Saccharomyces cerevisiae S288C: one gene and its partners. The protein of the gene in region 3 interacts with the protein of the main gene of each other region in a biochemical or structural test. Each region holds a gene or a part of one and is shown on either strand. Other genes may lie near its edges. The genes, in order: RPN1, VPS9, UBI4 and UBC1.

Evidence for each region.
Region 1: the proteins of UBI4 (region 3) and RPN1 form a complex in vitro, tested with the Saccharomyces cerevisiae proteins (8 studies listed by BioGRID, with this or other methods).
Region 2: the proteins of UBI4 (region 3) and VPS9 form a complex in vitro, tested with the Saccharomyces cerevisiae proteins (6 studies listed by BioGRID).
Region 4: the proteins of UBI4 (region 3) and UBC1 form a complex in vitro, tested with the Saccharomyces cerevisiae proteins (8 studies listed by BioGRID, with this or other methods).

The regions. Positions count from the first base shown.
Region 1 is NC_001140.6:161,230-166,438, forward strand, and holds RPN1 (proteasome regulatory particle base subunit RPN1), read right to left. Parts: upstream 3,483-5,209; coding exon 501-3,482; downstream 1-500. Other genes in the region: VMA16 (H(+)-transporting V0 sector ATPase subunit c''), read left to right, coding at 1-256; DAP2 (dipeptidyl aminopeptidase), read right to left, coding at 3,749-5,209.
Region 2 is NC_001145.3:75,455-81,615, reverse strand, and holds VPS9 (guanine nucleotide exchange factor VPS9), read left to right. Parts: upstream 1-1,925; coding exon 1,926-3,281; downstream 3,282-6,161. Other genes in the region: DNA repair protein RAD10, read left to right, coding at 1-135; YML096W (putative asparagine synthase), read right to left, coding at 130-1,707; TAF13 (Taf13p), read right to left, coding at 3,846-4,349; ARG81 (Arg81p), read left to right, coding at 4,576-6,161.
Region 3 is NC_001144.5:62,152-68,163, forward strand, and holds UBI4 (ubiquitin), read right to left. Parts: upstream 3,057-6,012; coding exon 1,911-3,056; downstream 1-1,910. Other genes in the region: membrane morphogenesis protein VPS13, read right to left, coding at 1-1,494; ENT4 (Ent4p), read right to left, coding at 3,624-4,367; E3 ubiquitin-protein ligase PRP19, read right to left, coding at 4,594-6,012. UniProt on the Saccharomyces cerevisiae protein: Ubiquitin exists either covalently attached to another protein, or free (unanchored).
Region 4 is NC_001136.10:812,652-818,142, reverse strand, and holds UBC1 (E2 ubiquitin-conjugating protein UBC1), read right to left. Parts: upstream 1,266-5,491; coding exon 618-1,265; downstream 1-617. Other genes in the region: succinate dehydrogenase membrane anchor subunit SDH4, read right to left, coding at 1-193; histone acetyltransferase NGG1, read right to left, coding at 1,583-3,691; mitochondrial 37S ribosomal protein mS35 RSM24, read left to right, coding at 3,991-4,950; HMO1 (Hmo1p), read right to left, coding at 5,293-5,491.

The DNA of each region.
Region 1 (5,209 bases), on a different chromosome or scaffold from region 3:
TGCTGAGAACATGTACTCGAAATCAAACCTGTACACTGGTTATTCTCTTTTCTGGGCAGGTATCACTGTCGGTGCTTCCAATTTGATTTGTGGTATCGCTGTCGGTATCACCGGTGCGACTGCTGCCATTTCCGATGCTGCTGATTCCGCATTGTTTGTTAAAATTTTGGTCATTGAAATTTTCGGGTCCATTTTAGGTTTATTAGGTTTGATTGTTGGTTTATTGATGGCCGGTAAAGCTTCTGAATTTCAGTAAGCGCTCAAACCAGGCTTTTCTTTTCCGTTTTTACGAGCTAGATAAGCGCATCCATATTTACTAATAGATATAATGAGATATCTGAGATACATGTGTATGTATATATGCACGTTTTCTTTTATTATCTAAAAATCATATTATATTAAGTAAGAGAAAAAAATGTACAACTATATAAATATATATTTATTTAAAATGGTTTTGAATTTTTCCTATTCTGGTTGATATTGCCCAAAAGCTATTCAGTTTACTCCTCTTCACGATAGTCAGGGTTCTTCTTTAAAATTACTACGCCCTCAATATGGCTTGTGTAACTAATATATTCATCAGTTTCTAGTTCTGCTCTTTCGCCATGATTTAGTAAAACAGGAGTGGATTGCGTAATCCAGCCAGTAATCTTTTTTGGTCTGCCTGCTTGGCCGACAGTTTCCACTGCTTGACCAACGCGCACATTAACCTTTATTGGCTCTCCCTCATCGTTTAATGCTAGAATAAACTTTGGCCTTATACCGGCATTCAACATGTAGAACAATTGATGATGCTTCAACATGAAACTTGGCGATACTAAACCAACTGCGGTAGTTAATATTGATGCTAATGTCACCTTATTCAAAACATGTGCATCATTGAACACATCCATTGTCATAGTACCTTTACCAAGATGCAATAACCCTTGTGCTAATCTGGTGATAAACAAAGCGTCTTGTTCACGTGAATAATAACTTGCCAACTGTCTTAATAGTTGAGCTAACCTTGCATTGTTAGTACCAGCACCACATAGACCCATAGCGAAAATTGAATTCATTGAAACTTCTAAATCGGCGTCATGTGAAAAACGAGTTAAGGTATCGAACACCTTCATTTGTGGATCAGAAACGGAAACAATACCCATCGCTAAAGGAACCATACGACGGATGTGTTCATTACCATAATGCATTAAATGACCAAAATGACGTAAAGACATTTCCTTGCCAATATCTTCACCAAGGGCAATCAAAGCAATACCCAAAACTGCATAAGCAAGTTCATCGACTATGCCTGCTTCTTTTTCTTCCTCCTCATCATCATTTTTCCCGTCCGTAGTAGCATCCTTATCGGAAGATTTTCCCTTCTTTTCTTCGGATTTTATCTCTTCACCTTCTAAACTCTCACCATTCTTCTTCTCTGTTATTTCTGCTTTAACTTCAACTTCCTCTCCTTCGGCATCAACCTCCATTTCGTCCACTTCGATCTCAGCTTCCTCGTTCTTGGTAGGTTCATTCACTTGCTCACCCAAAAAGTCACTTATGCTATTAGTCTGTCCTTCGGCAGTTTCTTCTTCATCTGCATCTTCTTCACCTTTTACGTTTTTAGGGGTCAAACGATGTAACAAATCTTGAATTAACAAAACATCACCCGTACCAGTATAAGCACATGAACCAACTAATACTTCAATAGCTGATGTCATTGGATGTTCAATAGCACTAATAGTTTCTAAAACATCATCCACCTGTTCACCTTGGCCCATGTATAGAATACCTAAAGCAAGTGCCAAAAACCTTACCCAGTCGGTCTTCAACTCGATGGCTGTACGCTCTAAAAAGTTGTCCATGATAGAAGTTGTAATGTCACCATTACAAGTACCAACGAAAACATGAGCCAAAGCTAAGGAAGCCATAGCTGCAGTTTCAATAGGCAAGTCAGTGGATGCGGCAATTGGTAATAACAAACCCAACACTTCGTCATTCTTGCTACCAGCAAATGCAATACCCAGGCCAAGAATAGCTGCTGAACTAATTTTAGTGTCTGGGTTAGTAACATAATCTTGCAAAAGTAACAAAGCTGGTTCAACTTCACCATCATGCACACCGGAAGCGGAAATACCAATACCTAATAATGCACCAGCTTTAACTTCTGGCTCATCAACGTAGAGATACTTATCCAGTTGTTGCAAACCATCGAGATTCCACTGGTATATAGATCCAATACTAGCTACCGCGGAAGTCATACCGTCACCTTTGGTTTTATATACCCAATTATCATTATCCACAATTAATTTATCGTTACAATAACCTAAGTTTAAGAACCCGTTGACAAATGACGAAGCTAGATTTTGTTGAGCAGAATCTAGGCCGGCGCTTGAGAACACAGATTTAGAGTTATCCAAATGGCTCTTATAAATGTCTTCTGGGACTTTTGGCCCAGTTAGATTCAATTCTTTAGCAAGATATAAAAAGTGTTCAGACAATTTACCATTTCCAATTATATCCTGAACACCTTCATACTCAAACGATGTCTTTTGTGCGGCTAAAATATATGCTAATTGTTTATGCATCACTGGATCGCTAGTAGCATCGAAAACGGATCTGATCATATCCTCTTCCCCTAGTCTAACTGCCAAAGCAATTGCATCTGTAAGTTCGTTCTGAGATAGATAAATAGAATATGCGGTTTTTAAAAAGGCAACGTCTTCAGGAGGTGGCAAAAGTGGAACACATGCAACCATATATTGACAAACTCTTTGGAAGGTATTCTCATCGACAAATTGAGGTAGCTTGTCAATAGATTCAATTTCCAAAAGCAAATCTACCGCGTCTTCTTCACCGTTGTGTTTCAAAAAGTATGGGACAATGTCTAAACATAGACGAAGAGTATCTTCCTTGGAAAATTCGAACCCGGAAGTAGCCGCAGATCCATCGCTTTTAGATCCATCAGATGATGTTTCATCTTCAGCATCTTTTTCCACTTGATCATTATATACTTCACCGATCTCCAAAGCTAAATGACGGATGTACTCATGTCCCCACCCTTCAAAATCAGAAACGTCGGAGAGTAATCTATATCTCAATGAATCGTGTTTACCATTTTCAGAGTATGTCATGGCTAAAATGGACAAGACATCCGCTAAAGAGGATTTCAAGTTTGGATCTGTCCATTTGTCGTAGATAGAACATAGGTCTGGATATGTCGGACGAAGGAATTTCAAAGGTTTGGGAACGGCGGTCATAGAACTCGTAGAATTTTTGATCGATTCCTTTAAGGCATTCAAAGACGCTTCATATAAAGATGAATCGTCTTCTTTCAGCCTTTCAACCAATAGCTCTAAATCTGTTTTAAGCTTTGCATCTTCTTCGGATAGCTGCTCCTCTTCCTCCTTTTTTTTATCCTTCTTATTTGGTGTCTGCTTTTCAGGACTTATCTGCGATTGTTCATCAATAGTCTGTTGTTTCTTATCACTTTCGTCTACCATTTTCTTGCAATTGTCTTCCAAATTTATACGAATCGCACCTTATGTAGACCAATGGGCAAGTTTGTTAGTGAAGAATTATAGATTTGACCAAATTTGCTTAATTACTTATACCCTTTGCCAAATTTCGTGCTCGCCTTTTGCCACCGTAAAACACATCATCTTCTACGAACATTAATCTGTTATATTACCAATTTTATATATACATAGTATGTAAATATGAAAATGTTTTATGAATGTCTCTATGAGATGAGCTGTAAATAGTCAACTCATTTGACAAATTGCCCATCGAAAGCACGCTTTGCCCAATCCAATAGCTTGTCAAAAACGATTACATTCGCATTATGGTATCTTATACTATGATCTGAGTCAGGAAAGACGTGGACGTCATAATTTTCCACACCATTTAGATCCAAAAGGTCCAGAAACTTTAGGGAATTTTGAAAGTGAACGTTATCATCTCCTGTTCCGTGCATCAACAAAAATCTATTTGCTTGTGCCAAAGCAGTGACATTATGAACGCTTGATTCTACGTATCCATCAAAGTTTTCTTGAGGAGTATGCATGTACCTCTCAGTATAAACAGAATCGTAAAATCTCCAGTCGGTTACTGGCGCAACTGACATCCCGTATTTGAAATGTCTTCCGCCATCTTTCTCCAAAGTTTTTAGTGTCAGGTACCCCCCGTATGACCAACCAAATAAGGAAATCTTTTGCGGATCAACAAAAGTTAAAGAACCATATAAGGAAGCCGCAGATATTTGGTCGCGGGCCTCGTAATCACCGAGCCTATCGCGAACAAGGGATCTAAAGTCTTGACCTTTGAAGCCAGTACCACGACCGTCAACAACAACTACAATTGCGTTTAATTGTGAAGCTACCACTTCATTAAATCCTACGGAAAACGTTTTGACAACTTGTTGAGAATTCGGTCCCCCATATGCAAAGAAAAATACAGGATAGTGGTCACTTAACGTTTCATCGAAATCATTTGGTAGGATTTCATACGAGTTCACTAGTATATCCTTTCCAAATTCGTCCTTTCCTAGGTTCAATTCCCTGAATGATTTTCTGGGTACCGCATAATCTTCTAAAATTTTGGTAAGTACTTCGTTCTTTTCCAAATGGTATAGTGATTTGCCTAAAACATTACCTTTGTCGCATTTTTCTGCTTTACGAGAATGGAAGTCCACAATTTTTTGATATGGAACTTTTGGTCCTTTATAGGTGAGTAAACCAAACCTTCTACCAGAAGAAAAGGACACATCATAGACACCATCCTCAGAAGTATCAGTAACTTCAATAATTTCATTTGGTGACCGTAAATCTATGTAGTAAACGTGGCGTTCGGTTGAACTCTTTCGTGTAGAAATGAAGTAAAGACGATTTTCCATTGAATCAAAGGCAAGTGGGCCATTCACCACTTCCCATTTCCCCTCTGTCAATGTTTTATAGTGTGAACTATTACTATTTTCGAAATAAGCCAAATGATTGTAACCACCAATCGGAAGAATATCAACATAACCATTATGAGGCCTATCAAATGTTTCATTTGCCGGAATAAACAGAGTATTATGAGTAATCTCCCACCATCCTCCGTTAGAACTTTCGTTCCTTACCACGTTTGAAGTCTTTGCAATTGTATCTATCAAAAACACAGTCAATATGTCCGAGGATCGATCGGTAGTTTTAACTAAAACGTTTCCATTTCCTACCCATGTAACTTCAGT
Region 2 (6,161 bases), on a different chromosome or scaffold from region 3:
TTCATAGTAGACGATAACAACTCTGAAGATACCCTTAATGACATTACAAAACTATGTATGTTCAACGGATTTACTCTACTTTTAGCATTTAATTTTGAACAAGCTGCAAAATATATTGAATATTTGAATTTATGAACAATTCCTATTTTCTTTTAATAAATCTGTTCCATGCTTATTACCATCCTTTGTCATTTTAGCGCTTTTAGCACCGAATTGAATGGCCCTTTTTGGTTCTGATGATATTCCATCCAACTTCAAATACTGCGAGGCAACTTTTCGAAGGATTAATTTGTTAACCTTGAAATTAATGGGAATTTCTGCTGTAGATAACTTTATAACATATTCATCTAAAAATGGGTATCTCACCTCCACGCCATTATGAGCTATCACTTTATCATCACGATTCAGGTTGCGATCATAAATGTTGTTTATTTGCCTTGTAAGTTCCTCCACAAGTTCATGGGGTGGTTTGTTGGCAAACTTGTGATATCCACCGTAGAGTTCGTCTGCTCCCAGTCCGCTGAATAACACTATCCCATGGCGCTGATATGGCGTTCTTTCCCCATTCAGAGAAGTTAAGAAACCTCTACCTCTCGACGCAAAAAAAAAAGCAATGGCTATAGACAAGTCCATTTCAGTCTGTTTAGGATACATTAAATTGATAACAAATGGCTTCCATTTTAAATACTCATCATAAGGAACGTCAACTTCAACCAGTTTGATATCAACATTAGGATATAAGTTTTGTAAAGTCTTTGCACTGTTAATGGACAGTTTTCTATCAGGTGTATCACTGGGAAAAAGACCAGTCCTGGGGTTTTCGAAGGATACATTTAGAAGCTCTATAACTGGTTTTCCACATTTATAATCATTTTCTTGCAACACCTCGCAGATCAACGCTACTATTACTGAACAATCAATTCCTCCTGAGAATAGTACCGCAATAGGAGAGTTTTCAATATGCCTGGGATGTATGGACTCTACCCTTTTTTTTACAGAATCACGTAGCACAGCATATAAATTTTTAGACACCTCTGACAATGATGTGAAATTCAGATCTATCTCTGATGTCACTTCGTATGGAAGATGTGACCTCTGATTGGAATTTAACAACTTAGTTCGTGTATCATATTCATAAATAACTCCACCTATACAATCTTGAAAGGACCCAGCAGACCCCGTTACACTAGCGACGTACAATTCGTTGTCTGGAGTGACCGAATAAGACAAACTTCGCCTGCCAATTGGATCTCTGCCGAAATAGAGTTTGGATGAGTTCACGTCATATATAGTATAAGCATACTCGCCTTCCAGTGATTTTATAACATCAATAACGCCCATACCCTCTTTCAAATTCTGCAACATAGAAGCAATATAAAGACTATCATTATCACCCTGCGATATCTCTTTATTGTATAACTCACCATTGAATTGTAGGAAATATCTGTCATCCACGTTAATACTCTGTTTCGTGAAAGGCTGCCTCAAAGATAAAACAGAAGAAAACCAACTTATTCGATAAGCTTTGACAGCTCGAAGAGAGGAGTAGTTTGGACCTCTTGCGGCTATGTACGGAATGATTTTGTTGAAAATCGACGATTCATTGGTACATGTTGTATCTCCAAATTCAGTTCCTTCTGGAAATTCGATTAACTCATCATTCAGGTAGTTATTGTTTGGACAATAATGCAATAGAATCCCGCACATGTCTCATAGTAATGCCAGATGCTCAAGGCTTTACTAAATCTGGAACTTTCCGATGCCTTAATATTTTTCACTTTTCTTTCTTTTTTATTATTTTTTTCGCGAATGGGCTATATCAAGCTGCCGGTACTTGATGTAATGACACATAACATTGAAAAGTTCTACATCCAACGGGCTTGAGTTTCTCTTCATCAAACAACAAAGAACAGGAATCAACAGCCATGACTGATGATGAAAAGAGGGAGATATTGAAAGAATTTGATCCTTTCAGCCAATTGGAACAGGCAAATGGCAACCCAGATAAAGATGTGAAGTTTAAAAAGGATGATCCTAATAGGGCAGCGGCAGAAGAAACTAATAGGGACATATCCGCGCAGGACAAAGGAGATGAGGAGCCATTTTATGACTTTCAAATATTCATTAAGCAGCTTCAGACTCCTGGTGCAGATCCTCTGGTTAAATATACGAAATCATTCTTACGTAACTTCTTGGCGCAAAGACTTCTATGGACGGTCAGCGAAGAAATAAAACTCATCAGTGACTTTAAGACCTTCATTTACGATAAATTCACTCTTTACGAGCCTTTCCGAAGTCTTGACAATTCCAAGATGAGAAATGCCAAGGAAGGTATGGAAAAGTTAATAATGGGGAAACTATATTCTCGCTGTTTTTCACCAAGTCTTTATGAAATTCTGCAGAAACCATTAGACGATGAGCATATGAAAGATTTAACCAACGATGACACATTACTAGAAAAGATTAGGCATTATAGATTCATAAGCCCCATTATGTTAGATATTCCTGATACTATGCCGAATGCCAGGCTGAATAAGTTTGTCCATTTGGCCAGTAAAGAGTTGGGCAAAATAAATAGGTTTAAGTCACCAAGGGACAAGATGGTTTGCGTTTTGAATGCAAGCAAGGTTATATTTGGTTTACTAAAACATACCAAGTTGGAACAAAATGGCGCTGACAGCTTTATACCTGTGCTAATATACTGTATTTTGAAAGGACAAGTACGATATCTAGTTTCGAATGTGAACTACATCGAAAGATTCAGATCACCAGACTTCATTCGGGGCGAAGAGGAATATTACTTGAGCAGTCTTCAGGCTGCTCTTAACTTCATTATGAACTTGACTGAACGTTCTTTAACTATCGAAGATCACGAAGATTTTGAAGAGGCATACCAAAGAAATTTTAAACAACTAGCAGAAGAAAAAGAGGAAGAAGAGAAGAAAAAACAACTAGAGATTCCGGATGAGTTACAGCCAAACGGCACTTTACTGAAACCCTTAGACGAAGTTACCAATATTGTAATTTCTAAATTCAATGAACTGTTTTCTCCAATTGGAGAGCCCACACAAGAAGAGGCATTGAAATCTGAACAGAGCAATAAAGAAGAAGACGTTTCTTCGTTAATTAAGAAAATTGAAGAGAACGAACGAAAGGACACGTTGAACACATTACAGAATATGTTTCCAGATATGGACCCAAGCCTGATAGAGGATGTTTGTATTGCTAAAAAATCGCGTATTGGGCCCTGTGTTGATGCTCTACTTTCTCTGTCAGAATAATGATCTCATGCACATATTTCATGTATAGAGTAGCCTAGCAATATGTATTTGTAAAAATATAATAGTAAAAATAACTTACCGCAGGAGACATTTTTTACTGATAACGATCGCTTCTAAAACTCGTTAGTACAGGCTCGTTGTGACTTAGAATCAAATAATAGATGGGTTAGGAGGCGCACGTACCTTCCTAAGCACAGAAGGGAGCTTAAGTTGCTGTTTCAGGCGGTGACTTAACAATACATCTTAACTATCCAATGCTGACAGCTGAGTATTGCAACACAACTATCAGAGGGAGGAGTTTGCCGTTACTAATGTAGCAGGGTTTTTGAATCTAAAAGAATAAATGTACCAGTTGAATCCTAAGATTTTACTTGGAAAAATATATAAATAAGAAAACAATGCATTCAAAATTGTGCCATTGTAATGACAAGTGTTTTTGTTCAGCACCAACGCAAACTCAAAACCCCTTTTATAGAGCAAACGCCTAATTAATAAATCAAAGGGACATATGTACTACGTATATCTGAATCAAGCCTACGTAAACGGGCCTGCCAAGTAGCTATATCATTTTTTTGTTTTCTTGAGGTTTTTAGGCCCCTGCTTCCTAATCTTTGTTGCCTTCGAATCTGTTGATTGTTTAGCGCTATTACGGCCCGCTGCTTCCTCATCATCATCCGTCACCTGCTGCTCATCCTCATCCTCTTCCATCTCGTCACCCTCTTCATCCTCTTCTCTGTACCTCTTTAATGAATTTTGATTGTCTGTCTCATTGAACTGCTTCTTAGCTTCCGTAATCAACTTATTAGTAGCTATCAGTTCTTCTGCTCTCCCAAGCTTTATCGGGTCTTTACGGAGGGCAAACTTGAAATCTTCCAATCGGAGCTTATTGCGCTGAGAATTCTGGGCTGTATGGAATGCGTTAGTACAAACATCCACCAAATATCCAGATACCAATTCATCCAAACACTGCACAGTAGCTTGTAGTGGCTGCGGCACATCGCCGTAAGCGTAAAGCAAGGAACTTACATCCTTGTTAAACAGATTCGTTTTTTTCAGCTTCCTAGACATATCTTATCCAGCTCACCCTCGCCTGCCGTTACCTTTTGGATTTCATGTTGCAGTTGTTGATGAACCTTCTTTGTTATCAATGACTCTTCGCCTGCGGTTTCCGCTAGAACTCAAAAATAAATGAAAAAAAAATACACCTTGCGAAAAGCATCTCTTTTAGATTTGATGCTTTAGTGGGCAATAGTTACCGATATCAGTACCTCGAAAATTTTAAGTTGCAGATATAATGGGAATTTCCAGCAAGAATGGCCCTAAAAAAATGGGAAGGGCAAAGACGTTTACTGGGTGTTGGACGTGCAGAGGAAGAAAAGTTAAGTGTGATCTTCGGCATCCCCACTGCCAACGATGTGAAAAGTCTAATTTGCCTTGTGGCGGTTATGATATCAAACTCCGGTGGTCTAAGCCTATGCAATTTGACCCGTACGGTGTCCCAATCCCACAAAATTCTCCTGCAACTACTACGAACTTATCAGGTAGTGTCGATGAACCACAATACCAACGACGGAACATCGATTTTGTGCGCTATGATGAAGAATACGTGTATCATGAAGATATGGATGATGAGCTAACAATGCTGCATACTCCCCCAATTGAGAAAATAAGCGATAACAAGACGTGGATCATAAAGAAATTTGGGGTGTTTAAAGGAACAGATAAGATCGACAAGCAGTACGCTCCAAGGAAGAAGCGCAATAGGAAAAGAGTTGCCAAAAGCTTGGAGAGCTCAGCTTCTATTTCGTTATCTTCTTTACCATCTTCTTCAACTATTTCCTTTCCAATTAGACATATTGAAGACAAGTTGAGAAATAAAGGGCATGTAAAGACAGGTATTCTCTCTGCTAATGATGGTGTTCCACCAACACCAAATCTTTTAGATTATGACTGGAACAATCTGAATATAACAGGTTACGAATGGATCTCGAGTGAACTCAGAGATGATGCATTATTGTCAGCGGTGACCTTACAGGGACATCACTTAGGACACACACAGCCACAAGAAATCTCATTAGAGGAAAACTCTAATGTCGTGAGTGGGGAAGAGCATGTGAATGCCAAAGAACATGGATGTGCCTTTGAGGCTGATAATCAAGGTTCATCAACTTTACCTAATAAAGCAGCCAGTGCCAATGATAAACTTTACCAGCAAAACTTGAAGTTACTCTTCCAGAAAAACTCTTCGAACAGTGAGGAACCAGACCCTCAAGCATTGATCGACGATGTGTTCGTCAATATTGAACCAAGATCTCTGCCCGCATCTGATCTGAATAAAATAACTCTAGCTCCTCCAAATGAAGAATCACGCATGCCTAAGTCCATGTTAGAACTCACATCCTATTCCAGTGACCTACCACCTGAATTGGTAGATATTATACCCAAAACAGACCTTACCGTACATGGTTTAGCGAGATTTCTTTTAAATCATTATTTTAATAATGTTGCAGATAAAATGACAGTGGTCGTGCTCGAAAAGAACCCATGGAAAACATTATACTTCCCCAGAGCCTTGATGGCATTAGGCGATTTAGCGGGTTTGGGACAATCCTCCAACTCGAGGAATGCGTTGTTGAATGCTCTTCTTGCTGTCTCTTGCTTCCACTTGCAAAGCAAGTACCCAAGGAACTACAAACTACAAAAATACTTTCTGGGCCTAGGTATCGAATTGAGAAATCAAGCCTCGAACTTTCTAAGATTATGTTTGAACACAAAATCAAGCATACCTGAGAAATATAAAGACGTACTAACTGCGATCTTATCTATGAACTCTATTGATGTTGTATGGGGGACGATGGCAGATTGCCAGGATCACTTGGC
Region 3 (6,012 bases):
TTCATTCTCGTCAAATTCAATAGCATCATAAAGCTCCTGACGCTGTTCTTCAGTCATTATTAAATCTTCGTCTACTTCTTCTGTAGGTTTACCGTTCCACCAAGAAGAGAGCCAGCTTCCATTATTTTTAGTTGCGGACTTGTTGGAAGTTTGTGGTTCAATATTTGAGCTAGCTGTTGGTGTGGGTGAGTCTTCCGTCATGCCCAACTTATATTGCGCGTACTGTCTCTTAGCGACAGATCTGAAGAGAATAATTTCATCATACGTTAAATCTTTATGCAATTCAGATAATTGAGCCTCCTGAATGGGGTCACGTAGCGGAGCTTCTAAATTTTTTAACTTTAACTTTTCAACCCATAATTTTGTGTACAACCTCCGTTGTTCACATTTCTCCTTCATGCTTTCCCAAGTCCACATTTTGTTTTTTTCATGAATTTCATTAATAACACAAGCAGCAATGTATTTAAACCATTCTGTCGGGTTTTCACTAACTGCGAAGGATGGTCTTGCTTTCTTAAACTTTTTGGTAATTTGTCTTAACTGTATACTGGAGAGGACATGCAAGATATCATTATATTCTGTATCATCTAATTCTAAACCAAATTCATCATAAAACATTTGCAAGTCAATGTGAGGTTGTTCCTCCGTGGAACCCAGCTTGTTGATACTAAGCTTCCCTAGCCCGCTAACCGGTTTCAAAATGTATTGATGCTTGGGGGCAGTGGAATTTTTCGATGCAATCATATCTTTGAAACCCCTTACAAAATTTTCCAGGCTTCTATCTTGATCATCATCAGAAATCAAGGGCGGAGAGTCTGTATTCCAATACAAACAGAGTGAATTTAAAGTCAATAGTTTATGCGTGATATTCTGTGTAATATCAATGAAACTTGGAGCCCAGTTGGAATCTGTAGATACAGCTGATAGCTCGTTCAAAGTTAATCCAACGGAAGATGGGCCTGTAGTGAAGATTCCGTCCATGTCCTCGTACCTTAAATGGATATTTTTTATGGTAACTTGTAAATTGTCTATGATCTTTGTAGTCAAAGACTGCATAAACCCGGCGTTATTTTTTTCTGAAGAAGAAGAAGAGGTTTTGTTCTCTGATTGGGTACTCAGTATGCGAGCCTGATTTGTCAGTTCCCATTCACTTACCTTCCTCATCTTCAACCGAAAAGCTCTCTTTATCATCTCCTCATCATTTTCGTGATCTTCTGAACGTGGTGAGCATAATAAATAACAGTCCTCGATAATGATTTTCACGGGCTTATTCTTTAAACTTGACCATGGGACCGTTAAGACCAAATCACCCAGTATCCCTGATTTCACATCTATGGGTAAATTTAATGAGTCCAAACAGTCTTTTCTTAGTTTTAAGTTTTTTAACTTCACATCACCACTCCATATGCCGACATTTAATTGATTAGGGTCGAAATTTTCCACATATGAGCCTAGCAATCGGTTTAGCAAATTAGCAGCTAAAGACTCTAACATTTAACTGTTCTTAATTTTCCTTTTTTCTGCCTTTTCCCTTTTGGTAGTCACAATATTCTATCCGTATCAAATTAAATAGAGTTAAAAGGTTGACTCAATTGGTCGGCTTATGTGCGTTTACTGGAGATTGAAACATGATAGGACACTATAAAGGTGGTTTATATTCCCTAATAAAAATCCCTTTCTATCAAAATAGCTAATGGTATTACCCGGCTTCGCGAAAATAGTGAACGTCATAGTATAAGACGATTCAAAAATCCAAGCTCTTGAAAACCAACATGAATAAAGACAATAACACAGTTGAACAATTTATTTAGTGTTCTATGGAGTATTTATCAAAAAAAAAAAAAAACCAAAAAGAAAAAAGGAGAGTAAACATATATATATTGACATAATGAAAATATTGCGAGGACTGATCAGTTACCACCCCTCAACCTCAAGACAAGGTGAAGAGTGGACTCCTTTTGAATATTGTAGTCCGACAGCGTTCTACCATCTTCTAGTTGCTTACCGGCAAAAATCAATCTTTGCTGGTCTGGAGGAATACCTTCCTTGTCTTGAATTTTCGACTTAACGTTGTCAATAGTGTCAGAAGATTCAACCTCTAGGGTTATAGTCTTACCTGTCAGTGTCTTGACAAAAATTTGCATACCACCTCTCAGTCTCAACACCAAGTGAAGAGTAGATTCCTTTTGGATGTTGTAGTCAGACAAGGTTCTACCATCTTCTAGTTGCTTACCAGCAAAAATCAATCTCTGTTGATCCGGAGGGATACCTTCTTTATCTTGAATTTTACTTTTGACGTTGTCAATAGTGTCGGAAGATTCAACCTCTAGGGTTATAGTCTTCCCTGTTAGAGTTTTGACGAAAATTTGCATACCACCTCTCAATCTCAACACCAAATGCAACGTAGACTCTTTCTGAATGTTATAATCAGACAGCGTTCTACCGTCTTCCAGTTGCTTACCAGCAAAAATCAATCTTTGTTGATCTGGAGGAATACCTTCCTTGTCTTGAATTTTCGACTTAACGTTGTCGATAGTGTCAGAAGATTCAACCTCTAGGGTTATAGTCTTACCTGTCAGTGTCTTGACAAAAATTTGCATACCACCTCTCAGTCTCAACACCAAGTGAAGAGTAGATTCCTTTTGGATGTTGTAGTCAGACAAGGTTCTACCATCTTCTAGCTGCTTACCGGCAAAGATCAACCTCTGTTGATCCGGAGGGATACCTTCCTTGTCCTGGATTTTCGACTTAACGTTATCGATCGTGTCGGAGGATTCAACCTCTAAAGTGATGGTTTTACCGGTCAAAGTCTTAACAAAGATCTGCATACCACCTCTTAGCCTTAGCACAAGATGTAAGGTGGACTCCTTCTGAATGTTGTAATCAGACAGCGTTCTACCGTCTTCTAGCTGCTTACCGGCAAAGATCAATCTTTGTTGATCTGGAGGGATACCTTCCTTGTCTTGAATTTTCGACTTAACGTTGTCGATGGTATCGGAAGATTCAACTTCCAATGTTATGGTTTTACCGGTCAAAGTCTTGACGAAAATCTGCATAATCTATTAGTTAAAGTAAAGTGGGAGGGAGAGTTCGAGAGTTCTTGTCGTATTGTAGTAGATAGAAGATATACTTATCCTTATCCGTACAGTTCTTGCTCTTTCTGAAGTAGCACTTTCGGAAGAAGAAAGATAAGCAGGCGAATTCAAAGGTGGCAAAACCCGGAGCCTCTCTATATATACCCCCAAAAGGAGGAACCGCCCTCAAATGACACTGAATTCTAAAAACAACTGATAAGTGGCATCGCCCCTGAAAAAAGAAACGAAGTGGGGTAACCACCGTGTGTGGCCGGATGTACGGCTGTGTGATGCTCCACTGGGCGGCTATTTTTTTTTTTGGTACCGAAATTGGTTTATCCAGGATTATTCTAGAACGTTCTAGAAACAATACTGACCACAAAGACTTTTCGGAATAGAATATTGTCAAACAAGAACTTTTTCACTTTCTTTTCATAAAACGTCACTTTCATCACTTTTGCAGGATTTCCCACAGTTCGTTTAAAGGGACATTTCCTATCATGGGTTGCCCTGCGCGAATAAGATGATTGGTCAAGGAAGACTCTAAAATCATCTGAACGGGTTATTTGAAGACTTGGGTCTAAATGAGAGCTTGCTTATTCCACCCGCCACGCCGGGCGTATCTTCACTGTCTTCTTCGGCCAGGGGATCCAAAGAGAATCGGGCATATTCGTGCGTATTCCTTGTCCGTTGTCTCTGGAAATCTAAGCTAGTGCTGGTGGTGGGAGGCTTTGCTTTCTTTTCTAAGCTTTGTCGCGTGAGCTCGCTTCTCATTTCCTCCAGCTTCAAATGGCTATTGTCCGTGGACTTCCTGCCCGGAGTCGATATGCTTGAGCGGAATTGTATTACATCCTTGCGTTGTTTTTCTAGTAACCCGTCGTCTTGCAGCAGCCCCAGAACGTTCCTGCTTAGCTTTTGAATATCTTCCGCCTTACGTTCATCCCGAGGATCCTGAACCTGAAAATCCTCCAGGATCTCAATTAGTATCATGTTTCCTTTCAGCCACTTGATGAATTCATTGGACCCGTTATTCATCAGATATGAGACCAAAGTCAGCGTCTTCATCACCTGGATACAATTTCGATGAGAATTTCTTCTGTTCTGCCCAAGTAGCAATCGCTTCCGGATTACCTGGATGATTTCTCGTACTGTCTTGGGGCTGTAGGTCAAGATTGATATTTCGTTCATAAGCGTCCCCGTTGCTCCACTTGTTTCGTCCTCGTTGGTAGCCTGTTTCACCTTTGATTCCGTCGGTGATTGAATAAAACTCTTGAAGGTATCTAACAAAGGCATCACGACCCCCTCACTATATGTGTACTCGTTCTTTGACACCTTTATGCTTTCTAGGCTTATTCAACACATAACCTCAATTTTCGTTTTCTCATTCTTTTTTCTTTTTTTTTTTTTCTCACTAAAGCGTTGTCCTAGAGATGTAAAAAGAGAAGGAAATGAAATTTTTACTGGAAATGTTACTACTATTACACAGGTTTATTTAGAAAGTACAAACGTGTCAGCGTATTTAGGGTGTCAATGCAACAATATTGAAACTATCATTTGTCTTCAGAATAGCGGCAATACCACCATCTCCGCATACCACGTCCATATCAGTGAAATCGGCAGTGTCGCTTTGCAAACAGAGGGCGCTCTCCTCGTCTTTAGTCCAATTTTTTGTTTTCTTGTCAAATTTGTATATCGTCAGCGAATTGCTCTCGTTTGAGTATGCAATCATATTCTTTCCAGAGTCGTCAATGTCATAGGTAACGGTGCCCGTCTTGAATTCTGGGATTGTGTAAGTTGGATACGCTAGCGTGCCGACATCCTTTCTTAGGTCAAAGCAAACCACAGTTTGGTCACACTCTACTACCATCCAGTACCCATTGTCTGCAAATTTAACCTCTTTTATCTTGGCTTCTTCATCTACGGGGAATCTAGAGCTTGCCTGGTCAGGTGATGACAAGTTGTAAACGTCTAATATACCGTCCGGAGAGTAAAGGGCTAATAATAATGAATCCTTATGTAGGACACCGCTGCTGTACTCAACATCTGATTTAGCAGAATGAACAATATACTGGGAATCATCCTCGTAGGATTGAAATCCTATGGTTCCTCTATTATCCGCCCAGATGAAGTACTCTGTGTTGACCTCGTTGTGACCATACATATATATAATCTCATTGGCGGAATCTACCTCTATTTCTCTGAGGACTTTGTTTGTTTTTGAGTCCAATATAGTTATTTGGTTACCTGGATATAGTAGTAGCAAACGATTACAAGGCCCTCTGGAAATAATAGCTGGATGCTCTCCCCCGGTACGGGGATTTGGTGTAGTTATTGTGGTAATCGTTTTCGAATCTTTTAATTGGGTAAAATGTAAAGCACCATCCTCACAGCGACACATGCACACCCATTTATCATAGTACATAGATTTGTTAAGCTCTTTATATGGGAATGTTTTGATGTTACGGGAGTAATTTTGTGCCTGTAATAGCTCCAAATTTTTTAAAATCGGCCATTTGGGTGCTTTGAGCTTGCCCCTCGCTACAAAGTCTCTAGAAGATTGTAACAGCCCTTGTAAAAATTCTTCTCTCGTAATAGCTACCGCTTGCTGTGAGGATTTGGGTAAATCCTTCGAATCTTCGTTTTTTTCCATCAATAGTTGCGCAGCGACCAACTTTGCAGCATCTCTTTCGTACATTACAGTCGACAGTTTTTTCGTTAAACTATCTAGAGTTGATCGTAACTTAAAGTTTTCGAGCATTATAGCATCCCATTCATTCTGTAAACTTGTCAACAGATTCGGAATCGAATAATTCGCTTTTAACGTAGCAGAGTTTGTAGACTCTGTTAGTGAGGCTTGTTGCGCACTAGGTACGATTTCCACTATTTCTTCGATGCTTAAGGGCTCATTTGTTATCGGATCATTCCCCGTATCTTTAAC
Region 4 (5,491 bases), on a different chromosome or scaffold from region 3:
CCTCTAATTTATTCTCAGGGGGGGGGACGTAGGCATCATTGGGAGTGCCCCTAACACCACCTGGTTTCTGGGGTAATACGGGCAAAAATGGGATAGTTAAGCTCTTCTTAGCGGTAGACTGGAAGGCCCTTACTGTGGCAGTATGGAAAATTCTCCTTCCAGTCATAAATTTCATGGATCTTGGCAACATCATAGCTATTATAAAGCGCGTAGGAAGAAAGTCGAAAGCGTAGGAAAGATCAAGAAAACAACAGAATGGGAAATTAGATACGACTATCTTCCAAAGCAGATATTTATCCTTCTATCTTTGCCTTAAAGCGATCCGCAGTCGGTCCCCTGATCGCTCGAGGGCTTCTCCTTATATAACTAAATTGCGCCTGTGTTCTTCCGAAGGTGCCCCGGAATAAAAAAAACAGCAGCGATTGGCTCAATGCTTATGGCACATAAGGTGTTTATATATTCTAAAATAACATTTAACGTGCCGTATTATTCTTTTACAGTTATGTGATCATCAAGAACACGGATGCACAATGAAACATCCTCGCTTGGTGTTTTACTCATATAGTTTATTTATTCTTTATTTACTTACTTACTTGGTGCGTTTTTTTTTTATCTATTCACTTCAACAATTCCTCGATGATACGGTTGGCTGTGTTGTTGTCATTGGGGTCTAAGGACTTGACGCCTAATCGTCTCAACACTTCCACAATCTTGTCCTTTTCAAAACCTTGAGATTCAAACTCGTCAATCAGATCGTGGTCAATCCCATATAAATCAGACTCCTCTACATTGCCTTTTTGACCATTGGAAGTTTCACTGGCGTATAACCTCGTCCATAGTGCAGCAGTCTTATTAAAAGATTCTCTATCCCGTAAATAGTGTTGTGCTACTTCTGCATCTTGAGGATCGTTAGGCTCTGGAGATTGTAGTAGCGCCTGTAGCGAAATCAATGCAGACTTTAGTGTTATCACTGGCGACCATGCATTCTTAAGAATATCTAAACAAATGGCACCTGTCACTGATGATATATTTGGATGGTATACTTTTGTGTCGAACTGCATCTTTGGTGGTTTGAATGGATACTCCATAGGTACTTCGATATCCACGACAAATTTGCCACCCTCGTAAGGTGTTCCAGGTGGGCCCAAAAATGTGCCTTTTAAATGGTGGATATCAGATTCACTCACAAATTCAAGAGTAATGTGAGCTGCAGGATCATCCTTCACAGCTTGGATTTCTTTCATAATTCTCTTAGCCCTAGACATCGCTTACTTCTTACTACTACTACTTATATATATACCACTTGTTTTTTTTAATGTATCCAACCACTAAATTACGATACTTATGTCGTCACACTTGCTTCAATTGACTTTACCTATACGCCCGCGATCGGAAGTTCATGCATTCAACTGTCATCTCATTGTTTTTGCCCCTCCAAATATTTCAGATGGAAGAAAATGTAACAAAAAAGGATATTAATGTTCGTATTATGTGACTATTTTTTTTTTTTTATGGATAGTTATCCAAATTGTTAGTTATATGCGTTATTATGCTACGTATTTTTCCTTAGAGTTCGTATATTTTAATTTAGTTCCACGTCCTTATTAGTGTTTTGTGCAAATACATCGGCTTCATCCTCATCTTCTTCTTGGTCCATGTCCTTGAATACGCTTTCATTGGGGATTCTCTTCATAATTTCAGGTTTATCAAACAATGGACCAATCTTATTAATCCACCTTTGCCTTTTATCCAGAAGGGATTTTAAACTTGAGTTTGCAGCCTTTTGTTGTGCTATTTGAGACGTGGTTCCTGTGTTCACATTATTTGAAGCTGCTGTATGATGCTTCTTTCTTTTCTTGGGTACGCGAATACGTTTGACATAAGCCTGGTCGATTTGTTTGTCTAAATCTTCTAAAATAGATGAGTATTCCTGCCATGCTAGTTGTCTTTCCACTAGTGGAATCAATTGGGCTTTCCTCTTTTGGTTTTTCTTGGTCACTTGTTTTAAAGTGCCTTGCAATTCTCTTAACTCTGCGCTTATTTCGTCGTCTTCTCTACCGGTGACCCAATCGGGGTCATCTGAGTTAGGGTTGTTCTCATCCTTAGGCAAATTCATGTATATCCCTACATACTTTAGTTCTCTTTTCAATCGTTCTTCGAATGTTGGATAGTCCAGGTTAATTCCATTTGTTATCCACCCAATTTGTTGGGGTAACGTACTTGTAGTACCGCCATTACTGCCTTTATTTTCTGCCAGTTTTGCTTGGAAAGATGCTTCCTCATCAATGTCATTGTCAGGTGTTTGAACACTGGGCCCGTTCTCCTGAGATAATGTCATGTCTACAGTATCATTGTTGTTGTTTCTAAACGATTGTATATCGTCTTCCCCTCCGGTTCTCGGTAGTCCGCCATCCCGTATTATTTTAGAAGATTGCAATTCTGATTTGTCATTGTCATCTTTTAATACAGCACTCAACAGCCTAGATAATAAGGGCCCACACGATATACTGCCCGATTCCAAAGCATTATCATCAAGTTCGTTGGCACTTTTTTTTGGTAGTATAGTAGATGCATCGTTTGAATATGGTGAAGGTTTTTTATAGGCAGAATTTTTGTCGTTTTCATCTTTGAACCAAACATCTGTGTATAAAGGGCCTAGTTTCGGTATAATAAACGGGTTTACCTCAGGGTCATAAGTTTTGTCAAATTGCAAGCTATCGGGTATAATATATTTCATCTTCAAAAACTTTAAGTTGTCATCACTAAGATCTTTGAAAAAATTTTCCACAAATGCTAGAAAGGTATTGAATTGAATTTGGTTGGTTGGTTTAGGATGCGAAAAGTCCATATCCGGTAATTCACCTGGTAACAGATCTTTCAAATCATTTGTTGGATAACTAGCTACATTGTATTTTTTTTTTAGGAAGTCTTCTCCTGTACTTTCTAGTCCCTCTTCATTGAATAAGCCGAGTGCTGCTGCTGCTCGAGGTAACGTTTGCGATACTACAAATTCTGATTTTGGATTTTTAACAGTTGGATCGTTTTCCATTTTGTCAACGTCAATTTTTTGCTTCTTATTGTCTGGCCTCTGTGTGTTTTCATTTTCAGTGGCCCTATTTTCAGTTTCAGAATCGAACGGCCTCTTTTCTCTGGGTTGATCTCTATGAACTTGTAAATCTTTGTCTTCATTAATTTCTTCTTTAGCCATATTATCAGCCGCTTGTTTGATGCTTTCTACATCGTTCTCAATTGTGCCGGAGATTTCATTAGAAGGAGGAGGTTTTGGTGGGCTTTGTACCCCTTTATCAATTATATTCGTTTCTTCAGTAGCAGTAGAACTTTCGTGCTGCCCGTCTGCATTTGAAGTTTCCTGCTTTTCATCGTTTGCTTGCTTCTCATTTTTACTGTCTCTTATTTTCCGAAGCGCTTCAATGGTCTCTTGATCACCTCGGGCAATTGTACCCAGTATTTCATTGAGACTATCCAATTGACTTTGCAATTCAAGTAAAGTTTTTTTATTGGGTATGGACCTAACACTTTTGCCATTGAGCATTCCAATATCACGCTCGAAGGTCAAATCTAAAGTTTTAAGCATTGACGATAAAAGCTTTGACGGAGTATTGTCGCCTCCCTCCTTTTTAGGAAGTTTCTCGCCTTTTGGCAGTTTTCCTCTTCTTCCATGTCTAGGCATATGTCCTGTCCAATACTTCTCGTCGCTCCGTCTTTGTTATGTTTTTCCAACTTCCTTATTGTAATCGCTACCACGAATATTTCATTTGATGGCGTTCATTTAATGACTGCCTGCCATTGTTTTGTTGTCGTCGGCGAACCTTTATCGCGTTGCACGTCGGAGCTCTTTAATGAGTTCCGCTAAGAAATTACGCTAAATGGGACCTTTTCTGTAACTGATTCTGAGTATATTTCGATCTGTGAACAAGGCAGTAGAGTTACCGAAACATTTGACACTACTAAAATACTATTCTTAGGAAGATGAAAGTACCATTGGGGTTATGGAAAGTCTCTCGGGGTAATTTGTGGAGCACCCAGAAAAGGGTTTTGACAATGTCTAGATGTTTGAACAGTGATGCTGGTAATGAAGCTAAAACTGTGAGAGAAGGACCAGCTTTTTCAGCAGATCTCTATATGCATCCCGAAAAATGGAAGGGTTTACCTCCTCAAAGAATTTTAGAGTTATATTGGGAGAGAATGGCTAGATTGGGTTCAGAGTATAAACCTAACAAAGACGAACTGAATGCCTTATTAACCACTTCTGAGTACTCAAATGTACCTGTTAACGATATTAAAAAGCTATATCACAGAGGAGAACAAGGCGCTATTGATATAAAAGGTGGAAACGTGAATCGCGATAACAGTCTTAGACCGTTTATGTTTGATGAATTGCCATCGCAAGCTCAGGAATTGGTTGCCCAACATCGTGAACAAAGGTTCTATAATCGATTAGCCGCATATGAGTTACCGCTATTAGCTCAATATCGCCAGGAATACAAGAGACCATCTCCAGAAAGTCATCCGGTCACTTATAGATACACTAGTTATGTTGGCGAAGAGCATCCCAATTCGAGGAAGGTTGTATTAAGCGTTAAAACCAAGGAATTGGGCCTGGAGGAAAAATCATTACATAAGTTCAGAATATTAGCCAGGTCGCGTTATGATCATACTACAGATATTTTTAAAATGTCTAGTGACAAATTTGAGCATGCATCACAAAATGCACGTTATTTGCATGATATTCTTCAAAGGCTGTTAGCGGAGTCAAAAGATTTGACGGAGGACGATTTTAGCGATGTTCCCCTTGACACAAGGCATACTATAGCTAAGAGTTTACGTAAAAAGAAGCGGGATTATGAGTTTCCTGAACACTGGAAACGCCCTGAAGATGCACCAAAGAAGAAATTTGATATTGTAGATCAATTATTGAGCACTCTTTAATACATGTTCAAAAACAAAAAGAACGGCCCCCCTGTATATATTATGTATTTGTTTTGCTTCCTTCTTTTTCTCTAAAATGTACATAGTTTTAGCACAATACAACATTGAGAGGTTTGAAAAGGTATAATCGCAAATTTAGAACTATATACATACATATACACAACGAAAATGAAAAGGAAGATATACTGTTACAAGAGGAGAGGGATAGATACATATATATATATATATATGTGCATACACTATGGGCAAAGCAAGCCCATGCTGCTATATTTTATTCCTTTTTTTATTATTATATTTATTTTAGAAAGACAGTAGAGTAATAGTAACGAGTTTGTCCGTCCATCAAATAGAAGAGTTGGATTTGTCCTTCTTCTTATCCTTCTTCTTCTTCTTCTTCTTCTTTTCCGAAGATCCATCATCATCGTGAGGTCTCTTTTCCACAGGAGGTTCAGCGGCGTGCTGTAAACTGAAAGGAATTGGAACCGGCGCATGAGTTGGACCGTTTTCCAAGGAAGCTGGTGGTAGGGTACCGTTTTTCTTT